Linked DNA regions of Saccharomyces cerevisiae S288C. Each later gene encodes a partner of the first gene's protein in a complex. Each region holds a gene or a part of one and is shown on either strand. Other genes may lie near its edges. The genes, in order: PFS2, YTH1, CFT1 and CFT2. A codon is read from its position in the direction of its gene.

Region 1 (3,919 bases):
GTCATCAACGGCCGATTGCGACAACATTCTGCATTTAGCCATTGCTAGTGAAACAGCTGCCCAATTGCATAAGGCGTACATCATTGAACATTCGATAAATGATAAGCTAGGAAATACAACAAGATTTTTAGTATTGAAGAGAAGGGAGAACGCAGGCGACAATGAAGTAGAAGACACTGGATTACTACGGGTTAACCTACTCACCTTTACTACTCGTCAAGATGACCCTGGTTCTTTGGTAGATGTTTTGAACATACTAAAAATCCATTCACTCAACATGTGTTCTATAAACTCTAGACCATTCCATTTGGACGAACATGATAGAAACTGGCGATATTTATTTTTCATTGAATATTACACCGAGAAGAATACCCCAAAGAATAAAGAAAAATTCTATGAAGATATCAGCGACAAAAGTAAACAGTGGTGCCTGTGGGGTACATTCCCCAGAAATGAGAGATATTATCACAAATAATATGTTATATAGTCTTTTTATTTATGTATCCTAAAATCTCGTCAAAGCGCACTTTTATATGCTTAAACCTGGCAATGTGGAACTCTTGATGTTTGAATCGATGCCTGGGATTTCTTGACGCGGTTTCTTGTTGATGAATCCATTCATGTTTGGTAACGCATGTGGTTCAAGTGTAGCTGGTGGTGGCGGGGCCGCACCGAATTCACTCTTCTCTCTCACAGCATTGATGTCGTTATTGATGCCAAAAAACCATCCATTTATCTTCTTATTGTTATAAGTTGGATCATCATATGCATTAGGATCAATTGGCCTCGCTCTAGTCCAAAATCTTATGGTTCTATCCTTAGCTGCTGTGGCAAATATATGTCCTACTGGATTATATGATAACGAGGTGATACACTTATCATGGGCGTATGGAATAGTCAAAATAGGTTCGTTTAGATTTTGTAAAAGATCAAAATGCTTTAGCGAGCCGTCATAGCACGCCAGAGTGAACATAGATTCATTTATTGGGTGCCATTCTAGTGTCATATAATCCGTTTCATCTCTTACACACATTAGTTCCTTCATACTGTATCTAATGTCGAACACACGACACGATTTATCTTTTGAAATCGCCATTAATAGATTTCCCTTGGTGGGTTGAAATCGCGTCTTCAAGACAGTATGTTTGAACTTCAGAATTGATGATATGCAGTTTCCGGAACGCGGATCCCACAGTTTTACTAAATTGTCCTTAGATGCGGAGGCAATTAACCCCATCTCGGGATGCCAATCACAACTTTTCACGTCCCAGTGGTGCCCCGATAATACTCTTTCTTGTTTGCCATTGCTGAAGTTCCAAATCTTCAAGATATTATCATCTGAACAGGTAACAAATTTCGAGTCGTTACTACTGAATGCCATATCCCTAATACTTTCCGTGTGTGCAGCATCAATTTCTTTAACCATACTAAAGTTTGGTTGCCATATCTTAATCATTCCATCTGCGTCCCCACTAATCATCCAATCACTGTCGTGAGAATATTTCATTGTAGTCACAGCCGAATCATGTGCTTGCATGAGGGTTTCAAACGTAAACGAAGATGCGTTCCATAGAGAAAATTCTCCGCTATAAGTTGCTACTACAAGTCTTCTGCCTTCTGGGGTCCATTGGATGGCGGGTATCACATGTTTCACTTTATTCGAGCTTAAATGCGTAAATTTGCTGGGCAAATTTATGACTCGATCTCGACCTCTGTAGGCATTAGGCGGCATTATATCTATTGTGTATGAAGTTTCTGGCTCTACCACTAGGTTCGGTAATCCATGTCGTCTGTTGTAATATAGGTTAATATACGGAGAACTCACGTCTACCGATCGTCTCTGTGTCACATATTTCTTCAGAGGTGGTTGTTGTGACTGCTGAATTTGATTCTGATTCTGGTACTGGTTCTGATTATGCCCGTCCATAACGTGTCTATGTTGAGCTTCTTAATATCTACCCAGCAACCTGTATATCAGTGCTTTCTTTAATTATACTTCCCTTGACAAATCGATACGTCGGCCCTCAAAAGAAGAGGAAAAAAAATAGAAAAAAAAATAGAAAATAAAAATGTCAGTAATTCTAATGATGACACAAATTCAAATAGCAACATTGAATACTGTTTAACAGAACAATTAACCACTTTTAATTAGAAATACTAACAAAGAATTTGTTAACGTATTCTTAGGAAGTAAAGTACTTCAATTATTGCTAGAAATGACTGCTCAGATTCCGTATCAACATAGCTCGGGATACATCTCTCATTTTCACAATAATGAGCTTGATGCAGGCAGGGGAAGGGATTATAATGTAACCATTAAGTATCTAGATGATAAAGAAGAAAATATAGAAGGCCAAGCAGCAAAGATTAGTCACAATGCGAGTCTGCATATTCCCGTTTTATTGTGCTTGGTAATCTCGCTTGGTGGCTTTATTTTTGGATGGGACATTGGAACCATCGGTGGAATGACAAATATGGTTAGCTTTCAAGAAAAATTTGGCACAACTAATATTATCCATGACGATGAAACAATTTTTGTATCTACTAAGAAACTTACTGATCTGCAAATAGGCCTAATTATCAGTATTTTTAACATCAGTTGTGGCGTAGGGGCTTTAACTCTGTCAAAAATCGGTGATTGGATTGGTAGGAAAGGTGGTATATGGTTTGCCTTAGTAGTGTACTGCATCGGTATAACCATTCAAATTCTCTCCTATGGAAGGTGGTATTTTTTGACATTGGGAAGAGCCGTAACGGGAATCGGTGTGGGAGTAACCACTGTCTTGGTGCCAATGTTTCTCTCCGAGAATTCTCCACTAAAAATCAGAGGCTCCATGGTATCTACGTATCAATTGATTGTAACATTTGGCATACTAATGGGAAACATTTTAAATTTCATATGCGAAAGATGTTATAAAGATCCTACACAAAATATAGCCTGGCAATTGCCATTGTTCTTGGGATACATTTGGGCAATTATAATTGGAATGTCACTTGTTTACGTTCCTGAATCTCCACAGTACTTGGCAAAAATCAAAAATGATGTGCCCTCTGCTAAATACTCTTTTGCGAGGATGAATGGCATCCCTGCGACGGATAGCATGGTAATTGAATTCATCGATGATTTGCTGGAAAATAACTATAATAATGAGGAAACTAACAACGAATCAAAAAAGCAAAGCTTAGTTAAAAGAAACACATTTGAATTTATTATGGGAAAGCCAAAGTTATGGTTGAGACTGATTATTGGTATGATGATAATGGCATTTCAACAGCTGTCCGGAATAAATTATTTCTTTTATTACGGAACGTCTGTTTTCAAAGGTGTCGGGATTAAGGATCCTTATATTACTTCAATCATACTGTCAAGTGTTAACTTCCTTTCTACGATATTAGGCATATATTACGTGGAGAAATGGGGCCACAAGACATGTTTATTATATGGTTCAACAAATTTATTATTTTATATGATGACATATGCTACTGTGGGGACATTTGGAAGAGAAACGGACTTCTCAAATATTGTTTTAATTATCGTGACTTGTTGTTTTATTTTTTGGTTTGCAATAACATTGGGCCCAGTTACATTTGTACTAGTGTCCGAATTGTTCCCTCTAAGAACGAGGGCCATATCAATGGCTATTTGCACATTTATCAATTGGATGTTCAATTTCTTAATATCACTTTTAACACCAATGATTGTATCCAAAATTGATTTCAAACTAGGATACATATTTGCTGCTTGCCTATTAGCGTTGATAATATTCAGTTGGATACTAGTTCCTGAAACGAGGAAAAAGAATGAGCAAGAGATCAATAAAATATTTGAACCGGAGTAGATATTACATAATATAAATAGAAGAAGTAGCAAAGTGCAGTTTTTTTTTCCATAATAAATAACCATCAGTAACTAAGTGGC
Region 2 (3,172 bases), on another chromosome or scaffold:
ATAAAAACAGCAAATATTTTAATAACAGAAATGCATGTTCTTAATGGAGGCCATTGTAAGGATTTTGACTTCTACCTTGCTGACTTTACGTCGGCATTTCACATTAATCAAACACCAACAGATCTGAATACCACGGTAGAATACTGTGCACCAGAACTAATTGATAGCTCCTCCGATCATGTTCCTACATTTGAATCGGATTTGTATGCCGTGGGGCTTTGTCTTTTATCATTTATATCGCAGCATGAGCCTTACAACGAACTTCAGGCGTTAGTGTCGCATGGATCCTCTCCAGGTATTGGCAGTTCATCTATACAGCAGTCCCAATGGCTGATAAATGCTCTTTTGAAAAAAGATCCTATAAATCTAAACATGTTAAGAAACGATTTATTCCAGGATTGGAAGTCAGAACTAGCATTATTGTCCAGAATTCTGGTTGATAGACTTCCTCTAGAAAATCTCATAACTATACTCGATAGTAACTATATATGATAATATACATGTCTATGAAATCGAAAACCCCCAGCCATGCATAGATCAAACTTCACCGTTTATAATTGCGTTTAAACGCCTTTCCTTTTCTTCATCCATTTTCCTGGTATTTATCTCATCGTCTCTCTTAATTCTTAATTTACTACCTTCATCTGGGATTATGAACTGTGGATGTTCCATATCACATTCATCCTTCCCTAAAGGACAAAATCCGGTCATGTATCTTTGACAGAAAACCTTCTTAATATGCCGTCTAGGACAAGAACTCCCCAGAGGACAGAATCCCATTTCGTAATTTTCACATTTTGGTATCTTGCTAGCGGGATCTATGTGTAGATATTGACAATCTGGACTTTGTGTACAGTACCCGTTTTTGCTGAAGAAGACACATTCAGGCATTTTTCGAAGATTGTATTCATGTAAGTATTCACATTGGTCATTCTTTTTGCACAACCCTCGAAGCCAATGTCTACAAACAATTTTATTCTGAAATATTGGTAACACATGCTTTTTTGGACATAACGGTCCCCTCGGACATGATTTAGGGCCTTCTCTAGAATTGTAAAATTCACAAATAGGTCTGTCAGGATCGAGTGAAAACGAATACTCTTGCCTGAGGAAAGGTTCAAATTTAAAAGGATATTTTGCTGTATCGGGGTGAATTAGGCTCATTACATAAACTTATTGATTTTATTCGTCCTAGAATACTTGTTTAAGATACAGTGCAGAAATCTTTAGCTTATAATTCAGAAATGTGATATTTTGAAGCGATTGGAACAACAAAGTACAGTGCATTCTATATAATTATTAAAAGTTATAGTGGACTATTGTAATAACACTTGTTTTCCCCATATCATAACCGACGGCGCGTAAATGCATGCTCAATCAAGTTTCCGAATAAGTTAAGTTTGCCACCCATTGAGGATTAATATACACAAGGCAGCATTGAAAAACCTAATTGTTAACACTACACAAATCTCTATTGTTGTAGTAAACTGCGCTTTTTACCACTGTTACAATAGTTACTAATACACGCAAAAATTCTGGATAAACACGGCAAAATGGTAGACGTGGAAGAGAAAAGTCAAGAAGTTGAATATGTTGATCCAACGGTGAATAGGGTGCCCAATTATGAGGTATCTGAAAAGGCGTTTCTTTTGACACAATCAAAGGTTAGTATTGAACAGCGTAAGGAAGCGGCAGAGTTCGTTTTAGCCAAAATTAAAGAGGAAGAAATGGCCCCTTATTATAAATATCTTTGCGAGGAATACCTTGTTAATAATGGCCAATCTGACTTGGAACACGATGAAAAGTCAGATTCTTTAAACGAATGGATCAAATTTGACCAGGAGCTATACAATGAATTGTGCAAAAAAAATGAAAGTAAGATTAAAGAGTTAAATGAAAAGATCCAAAAATTGGAAGAAGATGATGAAGGTGAACTAGAACAAGCTCAAGCCTGGATTAATCTGGGTGAATATTATGCACAAATCGGTGACAAAGATAATGCTGAAAAGACGCTAGGGAAATCATTATCGAAGGCTATTTCCACAGGCGCCAAAATTGATGTTATGCTAACAATTGCAAGGCTGGGGTTCTTTTATAACGACCAACTTTATGTTAAGGAGAAGTTGGAAGCAGTCAATTCTATGATTGAAAAAGGTGGTGACTGGGAGAGAAGAAATAGATATAAAACATACTATGGTATCCACTGCTTGGCCGTAAGAAACTTTAAGGAAGCGGCAAAGTTATTGGTCGATTCTCTAGCAACTTTCACCTCTATTGAATTAACTTCCTATGAAAGCATTGCCACATATGCATCGGTCACAGGTTTATTCACTCTGGAAAGAACAGACCTAAAATCCAAAGTCATCGATTCACCTGAATTGTTATCTTTAATCTCAACAACTGCCGCACTACAATCTATCTCGTCGTTAACAATTTCCCTTTACGCGTCCGATTATGCCAGTTACTTTCCATATCTTTTGGAAACATATGCAAATGTTTTGATTCCATGTAAATATTTGAATAGACATGCAGATTTCTTTGTTAGAGAAATGAGAAGAAAAGTCTACGCACAATTGTTGGAATCATATAAGACTTTGTCGCTGAAATCTATGGCAAGCGCATTTGGTGTTTCGGTTGCGTTCTTGGATAACGACCTGGGTAAGTTTATTCCAAATAAGCAACTAAATTGTGTCATTGATAGAGTTAATGGGATCGTAGAGACCAACAGGCCAGACAACAAAAATGCTCAATACCATCTGCTAGTTAAGCAAGGTGACGGTTTGCTAACAAAATTACAAAAATACGGTGCAGCAGTGAGATTGACAGGGTCAGATCGTGTTTGAGGAATTTACATTATTTAGCAACGCACATAATCACATCAACATGTATACATAGTTTGGAGACTTGAGTAAATAGTAGTGAGAGGATATATGGATCGGTTCAAGTCAAAGGATTGTAATCATCCTCTTTCTCCTTTAAAACGGAGAGCTTCTATAGTTTTCAAGCTTCCATTAAAAATTTCAGTATTTAGTTCGGAAAGTTACATAATTGCAATGTCTCATAAAGGACCATGCTTCTTTTGAAAGTGAGGAATCTAAGGCTGAAAATGCCAATTCTTAAAAAGTAGTATAACCAGAAAAAGGAATCCCCATAAAAGGAAATTCATGATACG
Region 3 (6,343 bases), on another chromosome or scaffold:
TTTTAGTTAATTCAGAACTCGTGTAATTGCATCTTGCCTTGCCTACTGTTTGCAAGGGAAAATCTGGATCTAACGTGCCATCTGGTAACTTTTTACCAACTTTTATGTCAACACATTCTAACTCATGGAAAGTGCCCTGAACATCAATAACACCTGCTGGCAATAATCCCGCCTTATTTTTCCTTGTTAAGGCTGCGTACGCACCTTGGTCTATAACAACAGCGCCTTTAGAGACAAGACCGTGTAAAATCCAAAACTCTCTATTCTTTAGATGGTGTTTATTATCATTAGCAATGAACTTCGTATGTAGTGGAACGTTAAGAGCCTTTAATTTCTCAAATTCTCTTTTTTGCAAATCCGTTAAATCGCCATTATATGCTTGTTTAACTTTATTTTCATCGTCAAGTTCTAGAGTTTGCATATACTCGACAATTCTACCTATATTCGCAGGTGTATCGCTTTTCATGATCAACGTATGAACACCGGCATTCGTTGCCAAATCTGCAGCAACCAATTTAGTTTCCATACCACCGGTCCCAACGTCAGAACCTGAACCACCAGCAGTATTCACACCGGGCAAACCCTTTGAGAGATCTGGGACAACTAAGATCGGCATGGCATCTGGGTTTGTCCTTGGATTATCAGTATACAAACAGTCAACATCTGTCAGTAAGAAAAGATAATCTGCATGGATTAAAGCAGAAGTAATTGCTGATAAAGTGTCATTGTCACCAAATTTGATTTCTCTAACAGATAGTGTGTCGTTTTCATTCACAATGGGAATAACGCCCATGTTCAACAATTCATTAATTGTGTTTTGAGCGTTCTTATATTGGGTCCAGTCCAGAATATCATTTCTGGTCAATAGAATTTGAGCGATACGTTGATCAAATTGCGAAAACAGAAGATCCCATCTCCCGATCAATCTACCCTGCCCAATAGCTGCGATGGCCTGAACTTCTGCTAAATGTTTTGGTCTTTTATTCATACGCATAGTCCTCAAACCAACAGCAATACCACCACTGGACACGATGATAACTTTGTGTCCCATTCTTCTCAATTTGACTACAGTTTCGACAATAAGCGACATGATAGCTAACTTAGGTTCTTTGGTTTTTTCATCTACTAGCGATGAAGAGCCTAATTTGATCACTATAGTATACGATTTACTCTCATTAGCATCCTTCATTTTCGCGTTCTTATGACTATATTACAGTAGCTGATAAAATGACCTAAACTATGCCTATCTTTGAAGCAACTAGACATTAATCTTGAAAGACCGTTTTGATGGATGAATAATTCATCGAGAAAGCATTAGTTCGCTGATGTAATTTTTCATTTCCTGCCATCATGCGATGTGTGGGTGCTATTTATTTTCAATTCCTTTACCAAGGTACCTGATAGTGTCATAAATAAATAAATTTAGACCAAAATGTAACCATTGATAAGTGAGAGTCTTAAATTTAACATGTTCATACTTTAACTGGTGCTCAACCGATATATTATGATTCACTGTGCCACTGACCAGCCCTATTAGTGACATTTTGTGCTTCCTCATCCCGTCGGCTCCCAATAAGACAACGTAGTAAGTGATCTTAATATAAGGTAAGTTCGAGGTGACATATTTCACAGAGCAGCGTTAAAGCAATCATATGTAAATTGAGGAAGATCACCGTCCCTTGAACACTTCACTGATTAAAACTATCAGGTACTAACCTAGATTCGCTTTTTACTCTAGCTACTGGCCCTATGAATGTATATGATGATGTGCTTGACGCTACTGTTGTGTCTCATTCATTAGCAACACATTTTACTACTTCAGATTATGAGGAGCTCTTAGTGGTGCGAACAAATATCCTTTCTGTCTACAGGCCTACTAGGGATGGTAAACTGTATTTGACTGATGAGTTTAAGTTTCATGGCTTGATCACCGATATAGGCCTCATTCCCCAAAAAGACAGTCCGTTAAGTTGCCTGCTTTTATGCACAGGCGTCGCTAAAATCTCTATTTTAAAGTTCAACACGCTAACAAACTCAATCGATACCCTAAGCCTGCATTACTACGAAGGAAAGTTCAAGGGTAAATCGTTGGTAGAGCTGGCCAAAATTTCCACCTTGAGAATGGATCCTGGAAGTTCTTGTGCCTTACTGTTCAATAATGACATTATCGCTTTTCTACCCTTCCATGTCAATAAAAATGACGACGATGAGGAGGAAGAAGATGAGGACGAGAACATAGACGATAGTGAATTAATCCATAGCATGAATCAAAAATCCCAAGGGACGAATACTTTCAATAAGAGGAAGAGAACCAAGTTAGGTGACAAGTTCACGGCTCCAAGCGTGGTATTGGTAGCGAGTGAGTTGTACGAAGGCGCCAAAAATATCATAGATATTCAGTTCTTGAAAAATTTTACTAAACCAACGATAGCGCTCTTATACCAACCAAAGCTTGTTTGGGCAGGAAACACCACCATTTCAAAACTCCCTACACAATACGTTATACTCACATTAAATATCCAGCCTGCAGAAAGTGCCACCAAGATTGAATCAACCACAATAGCATTTGTCAAGGAACTGCCTTGGGATCTACACACCATTGTACCTGTTTCGAATGGTGCTATCATTGTGGGAACCAATGAACTGGCATTTCTAGATAATACTGGCGTTTTACAATCGACAGTATTATTAAACTCATTTGCTGATAAAGAGTTACAGAAAACAAAAATTATCAACAATTCTTCATTGGAAATTATGTTCAGGGAGAAAAACACTACGTCAATTTGGATACCTTCGTCCAAGAGCAAAAACGGAGGAAGTAATAATGACGAAACACTACTACTTATGGACTTGAAATCCAATATATACTATATCCAAATGGAAGCAGAGGGCAGGTTACTGATTAAATTCGATATTTTCAAGCTACCTATAGTCAATGATCTTTTGAAGGAGAACTCCAATCCAAAATGTATAACACGTTTGAATGCCACCAATTCAAACAAAAATATGGACTTATTTATTGGGTTTGGTTCAGGAAATGCTTTGGTTCTCAGATTGAATAATTTGAAATCTACCATTGAAACAAGAGAAGCACACAATCCATCTTCAGGTACAAATAGTTTGATGGATATCAATGACGACGATGATGAGGAAATGGACGATTTATACGCCGATGAAGCTCCTGAAAATGGACTAACAACTAATGATTCCAAAGGCACTGTGGAAACTGTTCAACCTTTCGATATCGAACTGTTATCATCTCTAAGGAATGTTGGTCCCATCACATCGTTAACTGTAGGTAAGGTATCTTCCATTGATGATGTGGTAAAAGGACTACCAAATCCAAACAAAAACGAGTATTCGCTAGTTGCCACATCGGGAAATGGTTCAGGTTCTCATTTGACCGTCATACAGACTAGTGTTCAACCGGAAATTGAATTAGCATTGAAATTTATCAGTATAACACAAATCTGGAATCTGAAGATCAAAGGAAGAGATAGGTACTTAATAACTACTGATTCCACAAAATCCCGGAGTGACATATATGAAAGTGACAATAACTTCAAACTTCATAAGGGCGGCCGTTTAAGAAGAGATGCTACTACAGTTTACATTTCAATGTTTGGTGAAGAAAAAAGAATAATACAAGTCACCACCAATCACTTATATTTATATGATACACATTTTAGACGTCTCACCACAATTAAATTTGACTACGAAGTTATTCATGTTTCCGTCATGGATCCGTATATACTAGTTACCGTATCAAGGGGTGATATTAAGATATTTGAATTGGAGGAAAAGAATAAAAGAAAATTGTTAAAAGTTGATTTGCCAGAAATTTTGAATGAAATGGTTATTACATCTGGTTTGATTTTGAAAAGCAATATGTGTAATGAATTTTTGATTGGGTTGAGTAAGTCTCAAGAAGAACAGTTATTGTTTACATTTGTTACTGCAGATAACCAAATTATCTTTTTTACTAAAGACCATAATGACAGAATCTTTCAACTAAATGGTGTTGACCAATTAAATGAATCTTTATACATTAGCACTTATCAACTGGGCGATGAGATCGTCCCTGATCCATCGATTAAACAAGTAATGATAAACAAACTGGGCCATGACAATAAAGAAGAATACCTGACAATATTAACCTTCGGAGGAGAGATTTACCAATATAGAAAATTACCACAAAGACGTAGTAGATTTTATAGAAACGTTACAAGAAATGATCTAGCTATTACTGGTGCTCCTGACAATGCATACGCCAAGGGTGTTAGTTCCATCGAAAGAATCATGCATTACTTTCCCGATTACAACGGTTATTCGGTAATATTTGTAACCGGTAGCGTTCCATACATATTAATAAAAGAAGATGATTCCACACCGAAGATTTTCAAATTCGGAAACATACCATTGGTTTCAGTCACTCCCTGGAGCGAGCGTTCAGTCATGTGTGTAGATGATATTAAAAACGCCAGAGTTTACACACTAACTACTGACAATATGTACTATGGTAACAAATTACCATTGAAACAGATAAAGATCAGCAATGTGCTTGATGACTACAAAACTCTGCAAAAACTAGTCTATCATGAAAGGGCTCAATTGTTTCTTGTATCTTATTGCAAGCGGGTTCCTTACGAAGCATTAGGAGAAGATGGCGAAAAAGTAATTGGTTATGACGAGAATGTTCCTCATGCGGAAGGATTTCAAAGTGGAATTTTACTCATTAATCCAAAAAGTTGGAAGGTCATTGATAAAATCGACTTTCCAAAGAATTCTGTCGTCAATGAAATGAGATCCTCTATGATTCAAATTAATTCAAAAACTAAGAGGAAAAGAGAATACATTATAGCCGGTGTTGCCAATGCCACCACTGAAGACACTCCACCAACTGGCGCTTTCCATATTTATGATGTGATAGAAGTTGTTCCCGAACCTGGTAAACCTGATACCAATTATAAGCTCAAGGAAATTTTTCAAGAAGAGGTCAGTGGTACTGTATCTACTGTTTGTGAGGTTAGTGGAAGATTCATGATTAGTCAAAGCCAAAAAGTTCTAGTAAGAGATATCCAAGAAGATAATTCCGTCATACCAGTGGCATTTTTGGATATTCCTGTTTTCGTTACGGATTCTAAAAGCTTTGGTAATCTTTTGATAATTGGTGACGCTATGCAGGGGTTCCAATTTATTGGTTTTGACGCAGAACCATACAGGATGATTTCATTGGGCAGAAGTATGTCGAAATTTCAAACAATGTCGCTAGAGTTTTTAGTGAACGGAGGGGATATGTATTTTGCGGCAACAGATGCTGACAGAAATGTTCATGTTTTAAAATATGCGCCAGATGAACCCAACTCTCTTTCGGGTCAACGTTTAGTCCACTGCTCCAGTTTCACGTTGCATTCCACCAATAGTTGTATGATGCTTTTACCAAGAAACGAGGAATTTGGCTCTCCTCAAGTGCCATCGTTTCAAAACGTTGGTGGCCAAGTGGATGGGTCAGTCTTCAAGATAGTTCCTTTAAGTGAGGAAAAATACAGAAGACTTTATGTGATTCAACAACAAATCATCGATCGAGAATTACAGCTAGGTGGTTTAAACCCTCGCATGGAAAGATTGGCCAACGACTTTTATCAGATGGGTCACTCTATGAGGCCTATGCTTGATTTCAACGTTATACGGAGGTTCTGTGGATTAGCTATTGATAGACGGAAAAGCATTGCGCAGAAAGCAGGAAGACATGCGCATTTTGAAGCATGGAGAGATATCATAAATATTGAATTTTCAATGAGATCTTTATGCCAGGGTAAGTGAACAATACATATAAAGGATATTTAATGCTAACTAGCCCGATATATACATCTATCTATCACTAGGCATTCGAGTAGTGAATAAGAACCACTACTTGAAACACTAGATTTGTAACAATAACGCATGTATCATCGTACATTTTCGGAACTATTTACGTAACGCGGGGATGAGGAAAAAGTTACTTTTTGCACAGCAAAAAAAACAAATAAAGAACAGTTAGTGAAATAAAGCAAAAGTGCAAACGGTGCCTTTAATCAAAGACTTTGCAGGAACATAAACAAGTGCACTAAAGAAGGTCCAATTTAAATATGCCAGCTAAAAAAAGGACTAGAAAGACAGTGAAAAAAACCGTATCATTCTCCGATGACACAACATTAACAACGCACCAAAATCGTGAGAAAAAGAACGTAGATCATGATCGTCCACCTGTGTATGTGAGGAAAACCCCTCTGATGACATTTCCATACCATTTAGTAGCACTACTTTATTACTACGTTTTTGTATCTTCAAATTTCAATACGGT
Region 4 (4,987 bases), on another chromosome or scaffold:
CGGAGAAGGTGACCTATTTTTCCTGGAGGGGGGCACAAAATCGTTCGTACGCAGTTTGATGGTAATTTCTTGAATCCTAAACATGACTTGATAGGAGTATATTTGTTCCCTAGTTAGGGCCCCACTAATTTTTGATGGAAGAGAATTGAATCGATGGACATCGCTTTCTACCGTGTTCTTTCTCCATAACGAAAGGTTGACGTTTGGAGGAACCTTTGCTTTTTTTTCTTCCATACTGCTTCCTTTTCTATTTTCAAAGTATCTAGAGTTAATCCTTCTAAAACTCATCAACAATTTCCTTTTATTGTGGGATAGAATAGCACTTGTAGCAAATTAGGGAAAAAATTCTGCTTTGAAAATTTCCGCTTGGTGAAATTCAGCAGAAAAAGAAAGAAATCAATAATGCTAATATCGTTAAAAGTGAGTTAGAATGTTATATACAGATAATAGCGGTGCGAGATACACAGCAATTTATGTCACATACTGTTTTGTGGGCAGTCCACGAACGTAAATTGAACCTTTTATTTGTGCTGTATACAAGAAGGCTAGATTTTTGCTAACATATCCGTAACCAATTTTTTGACAGTATCAAAAAGTTCGGAAGGCGTACCATCGATAATAGTTTCTGCATCATTGATTTTGCGGACTGCTACTTTTTCATTTATGACAAGTGTACCTTCCCCTTTAAATTCTGCAATGTAGTTTTTCTCTGTGAGAAGTTTCTTTAATTGTGCTAACCTAACGTCACCGATTGACAACGCACCTGTTTTATGGCTCCTAGATGAACCGTGTAATGGTTTCAAGACTAGTTTACTCCTTGACGCTGTTTTTTGATGATTGTTCACTTGCGGTAGGCTCTCCTTAACCAGCCTGCCAACGACAGTGGCAACTGTATAACTATCACTGATACGTTGCCATTTCAAAAGGTTATCGAGGTTGGAGTCAATGGAGATATCCAGGGTCTTTATTGTTGTACTGAATTCCACTATCTTATTTAATGGCATGTTGACCACTTCAATATTTTTCTTGATAAGTTTTGCCGTAATTTCTTCATTTTGAATCTGTTTGGGGGCGGAAAGAACTATTTTTCTAGATTTTAGCGATGGCCATATAATAGATGCAGACCTTTGATCAACTAAACTCTGTAAATTTAGGATTACTACGGAGCATTTCAATTGGACATTTACAGTTGAGATTGTTCTTTTGGAGAGCGTTTTGTCTATCTTTAAATAGTCAAGGTTATCAAAATTTTCTGCTTCTCCGGTTCCAGAAAATCCCGAGTAACGAGAAGCACGGTGTTTGCTCCTTTTGCTAATTGGATCACTCATATTATAACCATCTTCTTCTTCATTTTTGTTATCTTCTTCGTTTACAGGGCTCGTGGTTTTAGCACCGTCTTTGAGAGGTCTTTTCCTGCTATTTTGATTAACATTGTCAGAATCATCAGGTAAAAACATCGTAAAATCTACAACAGTACCATAATCATCTTTCTTGATTTTAGCGGGGTTAAATGGGAACATTTTATGTTTTGAAGCGGCACTTGGTTGAATTATAATGTCTACAGGAACTTCCGTATTTTTTTTCGCTGCTGATTTCTCAGAGTTATCCTTGAGTAAATTCAACAAATTGTCGTTTTCTTCCTCTTCATCATCATCTTCGTCACCCCCCATAATATGATCAATCGGTGGTACTCCATTGACGTTTTCCACTAAAATGTCTTGATTTCTCATTGCCCTCTCTCCGTTGGTATCATCTATGATTGCGTTGCCGTTAGCCAGTTTCTTAGACTCTCTTTTCACCAGTAGAATTTTCTTATTTCTGTCCCTTTTCTTTTCTTTAAGCTGTACTTTAAACGCCTCTGTTTCCTCTTTACTCAAGGGTTCTTCTTTTATGGTGTCTATTGAAATGTAATTATCGCAGAGGAATGATTTACCATCTTCAGGAAATGTTTTCCAATTTCTTTCATCTTGTTCAACAATTTCTAGTATCTTGTCTAAAGACGACGCACATTCAAAGCTCGGCTTGGTCAAAATCAAGGTTGTCTTCTCAGAATTACCAACTTTAATTATCACTTCATTAATCAAAGCTCCTACCTCAGATACGAAGCAAATCTTTGAACCAGGATATTTACTCAATTCGTTTGGTGCGATGATTTTGATCCGTGATCCAATTTCAAATGGAGAAGTATTATTTCTGTTTTCCCATGTCTTAAGTAGTGAAGGGGACAGCCACTCGAGCATTGATTTGGCATATGTTAGAGTTCTTCCTCTCGCGTAAGACAGAATAAGTACAGGTACTTGTGTGTGCGCATTGATCTTTGTGCTTTCAAATAATAACTCATGAACTTGTGTGAACAGGTCCAGAAATTTGCCACTCATATCTACCGGTATTATAACGGACCCATCCGAACTCAAACCTTTCTTTAATGTATCTTTAAAGATTTTTGAACGTTTTTTAAACGGTTGAGAGGAGCCAAACCTGTCCAAAGTAGTAATTATTGCAGAGGGCCTCATCAAAGTTGATAAGGGCTTACCAGTGGCGTCCAATATAGAAGCAGCATTTAGTATGTTATCTCTAGTGTGGTTCCATCGCTTTGCATAAACCAATTTCTCTGAGTATGTGCTAATGCACCAAATAGAACCACCTGGACACACACCAGCATTGTACGCCAGTAAAGTCAATCCATCGTATCTTGATCGTAGATCTACCAATTGCGAGTACTTCAAAGGTACAATATGATCAAAAGATATCTCAATATCTTCAAGATCGAGTTTATTTGTGTCATATGGACCTATAACACCTGCAGATGCATATGAATCTATGGTGGAAACTCTCCCTAAGTTGATAACAGGAAGAGTTGCGTAAACTTGAATTCTGGATATGAAATGCGAGGTAAAATTATAGTACAGAAGGGAATGAGCACCTAAACATTCAATTGTTGGTTGTGATAGTATTATTACATCAATTTCCGGTATCACTTTTTCCCAGTACTTGATGCATTGCTCATACGATACTTTAGATGGATTCCAACCGGGATCGATTAACAAGGTGACGTTATCAAATCGTACCACTGAACCAACGGTGGTTCCTGATCCATCATCACAGCAATTGTATTTATAAGTCATATATATTCGTCGCCCTCAATGTATGTTCTTCATTTCATCTTCTGTGTTATTTCTTTAGCGAACAAATATTCGTGAATTCGATGTTAAAACTGCAGATTGTTTAAGAAAAGCGGGAAAACGCCGCCGAAAGAAAAAATCTTTTTCTAGTAATATTTCTTATTACAACAAACATTGAACATTGAATGACTTCAATCCGTAAGGGTTCATTGCTTGTATAGTTGGACTATATGTCATAGGTGAATCATTATTTCTTGAACTCAGGTTCGCTTTACTCAGTCTAGTGCACGTGAGATTACACTGCAAAAACTCCATGAACCAAAGAACTTACCTTAGACTTGCATTTGGGAGCAAAGTTTACACTAATTAATGCTTTTTATTTTTATTGTCCCAACCTTCTAATGTGTGGATTATTAATGGGGTAAGTTGAACTTCTATTACTTCCATTGAACGTTTGAGAAGTATCATTGCTTAGGAGGTTTGCCTAGCAAAAATAGCCGCTGAAATGATGCTTGTCCGTCGGGTAATGATTATACGAACGGGTAACGGAAGATATGGAAGCTAACCCAACAGAGAGCAGTCAATAATGGATCTTGCATAAGAATGTACGGCCCGATCAAGCATCCTTACAGCTCATTCACGAAGTTTCCTTTTCAAGAAAATTTTGAAGCCTTAAAGGAATCCAAGCAGGAAGACCATATCAAACTAACATATACATTCTGCCTCGCTGCAACCTTGTTGTCAAAATAATGGATGAACACGAGGAAGCAGTCATCTTCGGTATCTGCCTTGTGGACTTTCATCACAAAAGAGGCCCTGAAATAGAATACTGGTATGGCTTACCTGAGGGCACCCAAAGTGCAGAACTATGGCCAAATTTACCCTTCCAGGCCCTTCCTGATGGTTCTCACTCGTTTGAAGAAACATTTACTTATTTCACATTACTATATGATGAAAGAAGACAAAGGAGCCCTCCCAACGGGGCAACTGATCTGAGTGATGATAGCATCAATGACAACACGACTTTGTTTGCCATATCTTGCTCGAGACAGATAAAGAGTGATGAATTGGTCACTAAAGATAAGGATGTAACACGATCTACTGTACAGAAGGCAATTGTAGTCATCTCAAGGCAACCAATCTTCGGTCAAATCAAGGACAAACTTAGTATTGTGACTAATGCTTTTTTCTTGCAGCATGATTTTGGGGACAGGAAGATAATCCAGTCTTTATACGAAAACCTGAAGTCGATTTACACGCCTGCATCATTGGTCAGAAATGCCGAAAATCGTCTTTATATTGGGTTATGTCTGAGAAAGATACTACATGATTTTAAGAGAAACGCTTTAGTCTTATTGAAAGCAATTATGCTTGAAAAAAAAATTATAGTTTACGGCAACGACGTGGAAGCTTTGTGTAATTTACAGTTCGGTCTGATCAGCTTAATTCCGGACTTGATGTCAAATTTGCAGGATTCTGGCAGTCCTCAGTTGTTTCAGGATATTTCGAAATTAAATGTTGTGGACTCGTTTAAATCAAGCAATCGAGAATCAGTGTTGAGATTCTTAGGTTTTCCATTACCGATTTTCGAAAAAGGTGGACTATTTTCACCCTATACTCCACTGCAGCAAATGAATGACATACGGTCAGAACGTACTTTGTTTTTTATGATTGGAAGTTCCAACACATTGCTTGCTGAACAAAAGGAGGAACTGTGCCACATATTTGTCAATACAGACAATTCCACTGTAGATATTCTGGACAAGACTTTGAACCCCGTCCTCCAATTGTCAAGTCATGATAAAAAATGGATTGAATCTATATCTGGAATTGTATCAGACACATGGAACGAAAATGATGATGAA

What was found.
Region 2: the proteins of PFS2 (region 1) and YTH1 are in contact, whole or in part, in a cryo-EM structure (PDB 6EOJ), measured with the Saccharomyces cerevisiae proteins. Residues at the interface, in NP_014082.1 of Saccharomyces cerevisiae: Arg106 (codon at 1,612), Arg107 (codon at 1,609), Leu119 (codon at 1,573), Glu128 (codon at 1,546), Thr129 (codon at 1,543), Met131 (codon at 1,537), Gln163 (codon at 1,441), Pro164 (codon at 1,438), Asn165 (codon at 1,435), Phe166 (codon at 1,432), Ser167 (codon at 1,429); in NP_015432.1 of Saccharomyces cerevisiae: His69 (codon at 960), Arg72 (codon at 951), Gly73 (codon at 948), Leu74 (codon at 945), Cys75 (codon at 942), Lys76 (codon at 939), Asn78 (codon at 933).
Region 3: the proteins of PFS2 (region 1) and CFT1 are in contact, whole or in part, in a cryo-EM structure (PDB 6EOJ), measured with the Saccharomyces cerevisiae proteins. Residues at the interface, in NP_014082.1 of Saccharomyces cerevisiae: Gln29 (codon at 1,843), Arg31 (codon at 1,837), Ser32 (codon at 1,834), Val33 (codon at 1,831), Asp34 (codon at 1,828), Val35 (codon at 1,825), Ser36 (codon at 1,822), Ser37 (codon at 1,819), Pro38 (codon at 1,816), Tyr39 (codon at 1,813), Ile40 (codon at 1,810), Asn41 (codon at 1,807), Leu42 (codon at 1,804), Tyr43 (codon at 1,801), Tyr44 (codon at 1,798), Asn45 (codon at 1,795), Arg46 (codon at 1,792), Arg47 (codon at 1,789), His48 (codon at 1,786), Gly49 (codon at 1,783), Leu50 (codon at 1,780), Pro51 (codon at 1,777), Asn52 (codon at 1,774), Leu53 (codon at 1,771), Val54 (codon at 1,768), Val55 (codon at 1,765), Glu56 (codon at 1,762), Pro57 (codon at 1,759), Glu58 (codon at 1,756), Thr59 (codon at 1,753); in NP_010587.1 of Saccharomyces cerevisiae: Lys110 (codon at 2,077), Gly111 (codon at 2,080), Lys112 (codon at 2,083), Ser113 (codon at 2,086), Leu114 (codon at 2,089), Val115 (codon at 2,092), Glu116 (codon at 2,095), Lys211 (codon at 2,380), Asn212 (codon at 2,383), Ile213 (codon at 2,386), Ile214 (codon at 2,389), Pro233 (codon at 2,446), Lys234 (codon at 2,449), Leu235 (codon at 2,452), Val236 (codon at 2,455), Trp237 (codon at 2,458), Ala238 (codon at 2,461), Gly239 (codon at 2,464), Asn240 (codon at 2,467), Thr242 (codon at 2,473), Ile243 (codon at 2,476), Trp279 (codon at 2,584), His282 (codon at 2,593), Thr296 (codon at 2,635), Asn297 (codon at 2,638), Asn315 (codon at 2,692), Phe317 (codon at 2,698), Met336 (codon at 2,755), Arg338 (codon at 2,761), Glu339 (codon at 2,764).
Region 4: the proteins of PFS2 (region 1) and CFT2 are in contact, whole or in part, in a cryo-EM structure (PDB 7ZGQ), measured with the Saccharomyces cerevisiae proteins. Residues at the interface, in NP_014082.1 of Saccharomyces cerevisiae: Ser186 (codon at 1,372), Ser187 (codon at 1,369), Asn188 (codon at 1,366), Ser190 (codon at 1,360), Lys191 (codon at 1,357), Ile203 (codon at 1,321), Glu212 (codon at 1,294), Trp227 (codon at 1,249), Glu230 (codon at 1,240), Met231 (codon at 1,237), Gly232 (codon at 1,234), Leu233 (codon at 1,231), Leu245 (codon at 1,195), Asp247 (codon at 1,189), Pro248 (codon at 1,186), Arg249 (codon at 1,183), Ile254 (codon at 1,168), Ser255 (codon at 1,165), Ser256 (codon at 1,162), Ile291 (codon at 1,057), Ser294 (codon at 1,048), Met295 (codon at 1,045); in NP_013216.1 of Saccharomyces cerevisiae: Asp547 (codon at 1,487), Asp548 (codon at 1,484), Tyr549 (codon at 1,481), Gly550 (codon at 1,478), Thr551 (codon at 1,475), Val552 (codon at 1,472), Val553 (codon at 1,469), Phe555 (codon at 1,463), Met557 (codon at 1,457), Phe558 (codon at 1,454), Leu559 (codon at 1,451), Pro560 (codon at 1,448), Asp561 (codon at 1,445).

The regions. Positions count from the first base shown.
Region 1 is NC_001146.8:38,627-42,545, reverse strand, and holds PFS2 (cleavage polyadenylation factor subunit PFS2), read right to left. Parts: upstream 1,928-3,919; coding exon 530-1,927; downstream 1-529. Other genes in the region: prephenate dehydratase PHA2, read left to right, coding at 1-475; HXT14 (Hxt14p), read left to right, coding at 2,217-3,839. UniProt on the Saccharomyces cerevisiae protein: Integral and essential component of the cleavage and polyadenylation factor (CPF) complex, which plays a key role in polyadenylation-dependent pre-mRNA 3'-end formation and cooperates with cleavage factors including the CFIA complex and NAB4/CFIB.
Region 2 is NC_001148.4:740,901-744,072, forward strand, and holds YTH1 (cleavage polyadenylation factor RNA-binding subunit YTH1), read right to left. Parts: upstream 1,165-3,172; coding exon 538-1,164; downstream 1-537. Other genes in the region: putative protein kinase ISR1, read left to right, coding at 1-492; proteasome regulatory particle lid subunit RPN7, read left to right, coding at 1,554-2,843. UniProt on the Saccharomyces cerevisiae protein: RNA-binding component of the cleavage and polyadenylation factor (CPF) complex, which plays a key role in polyadenylation-dependent pre-mRNA 3'-end formation and cooperates with cleavage factors including the CFIA complex and NAB4/CFIB.
Region 3 is NC_001136.10:1,061,603-1,067,945, forward strand, and holds CFT1 (cleavage/polyadenylation factor CFT1), read left to right. Parts: upstream 1-1,749; coding exon 1,750-5,823; downstream 5,824-6,343. Other genes in the region: PRO1 (glutamate 5-kinase), read right to left, coding at 1-1,189; mannose-ethanolamine phosphotransferase GPI11, read left to right, coding at 6,129-6,343. UniProt on the Saccharomyces cerevisiae protein: RNA-binding component of the cleavage and polyadenylation factor (CPF) complex, which plays a key role in polyadenylation-dependent pre-mRNA 3'-end formation and cooperates with cleavage factors including the CFIA complex and NAB4/CFIB.
Region 4 is NC_001144.5:376,123-381,109, reverse strand, and holds CFT2 (cleavage polyadenylation factor subunit CFT2), read right to left. Parts: upstream 3,126-4,987; coding exon 546-3,125; downstream 1-545. Other genes in the region: mRNA splicing protein MSL5, read right to left, coding at 1-288; AVL9 (Avl9p), read left to right, coding at 3,872-4,987. UniProt on the Saccharomyces cerevisiae protein: RNA-binding component of the cleavage and polyadenylation factor (CPF) complex, which plays a key role in polyadenylation-dependent pre-mRNA 3'-end formation and cooperates with cleavage factors including the CFIA complex and NAB4/CFIB.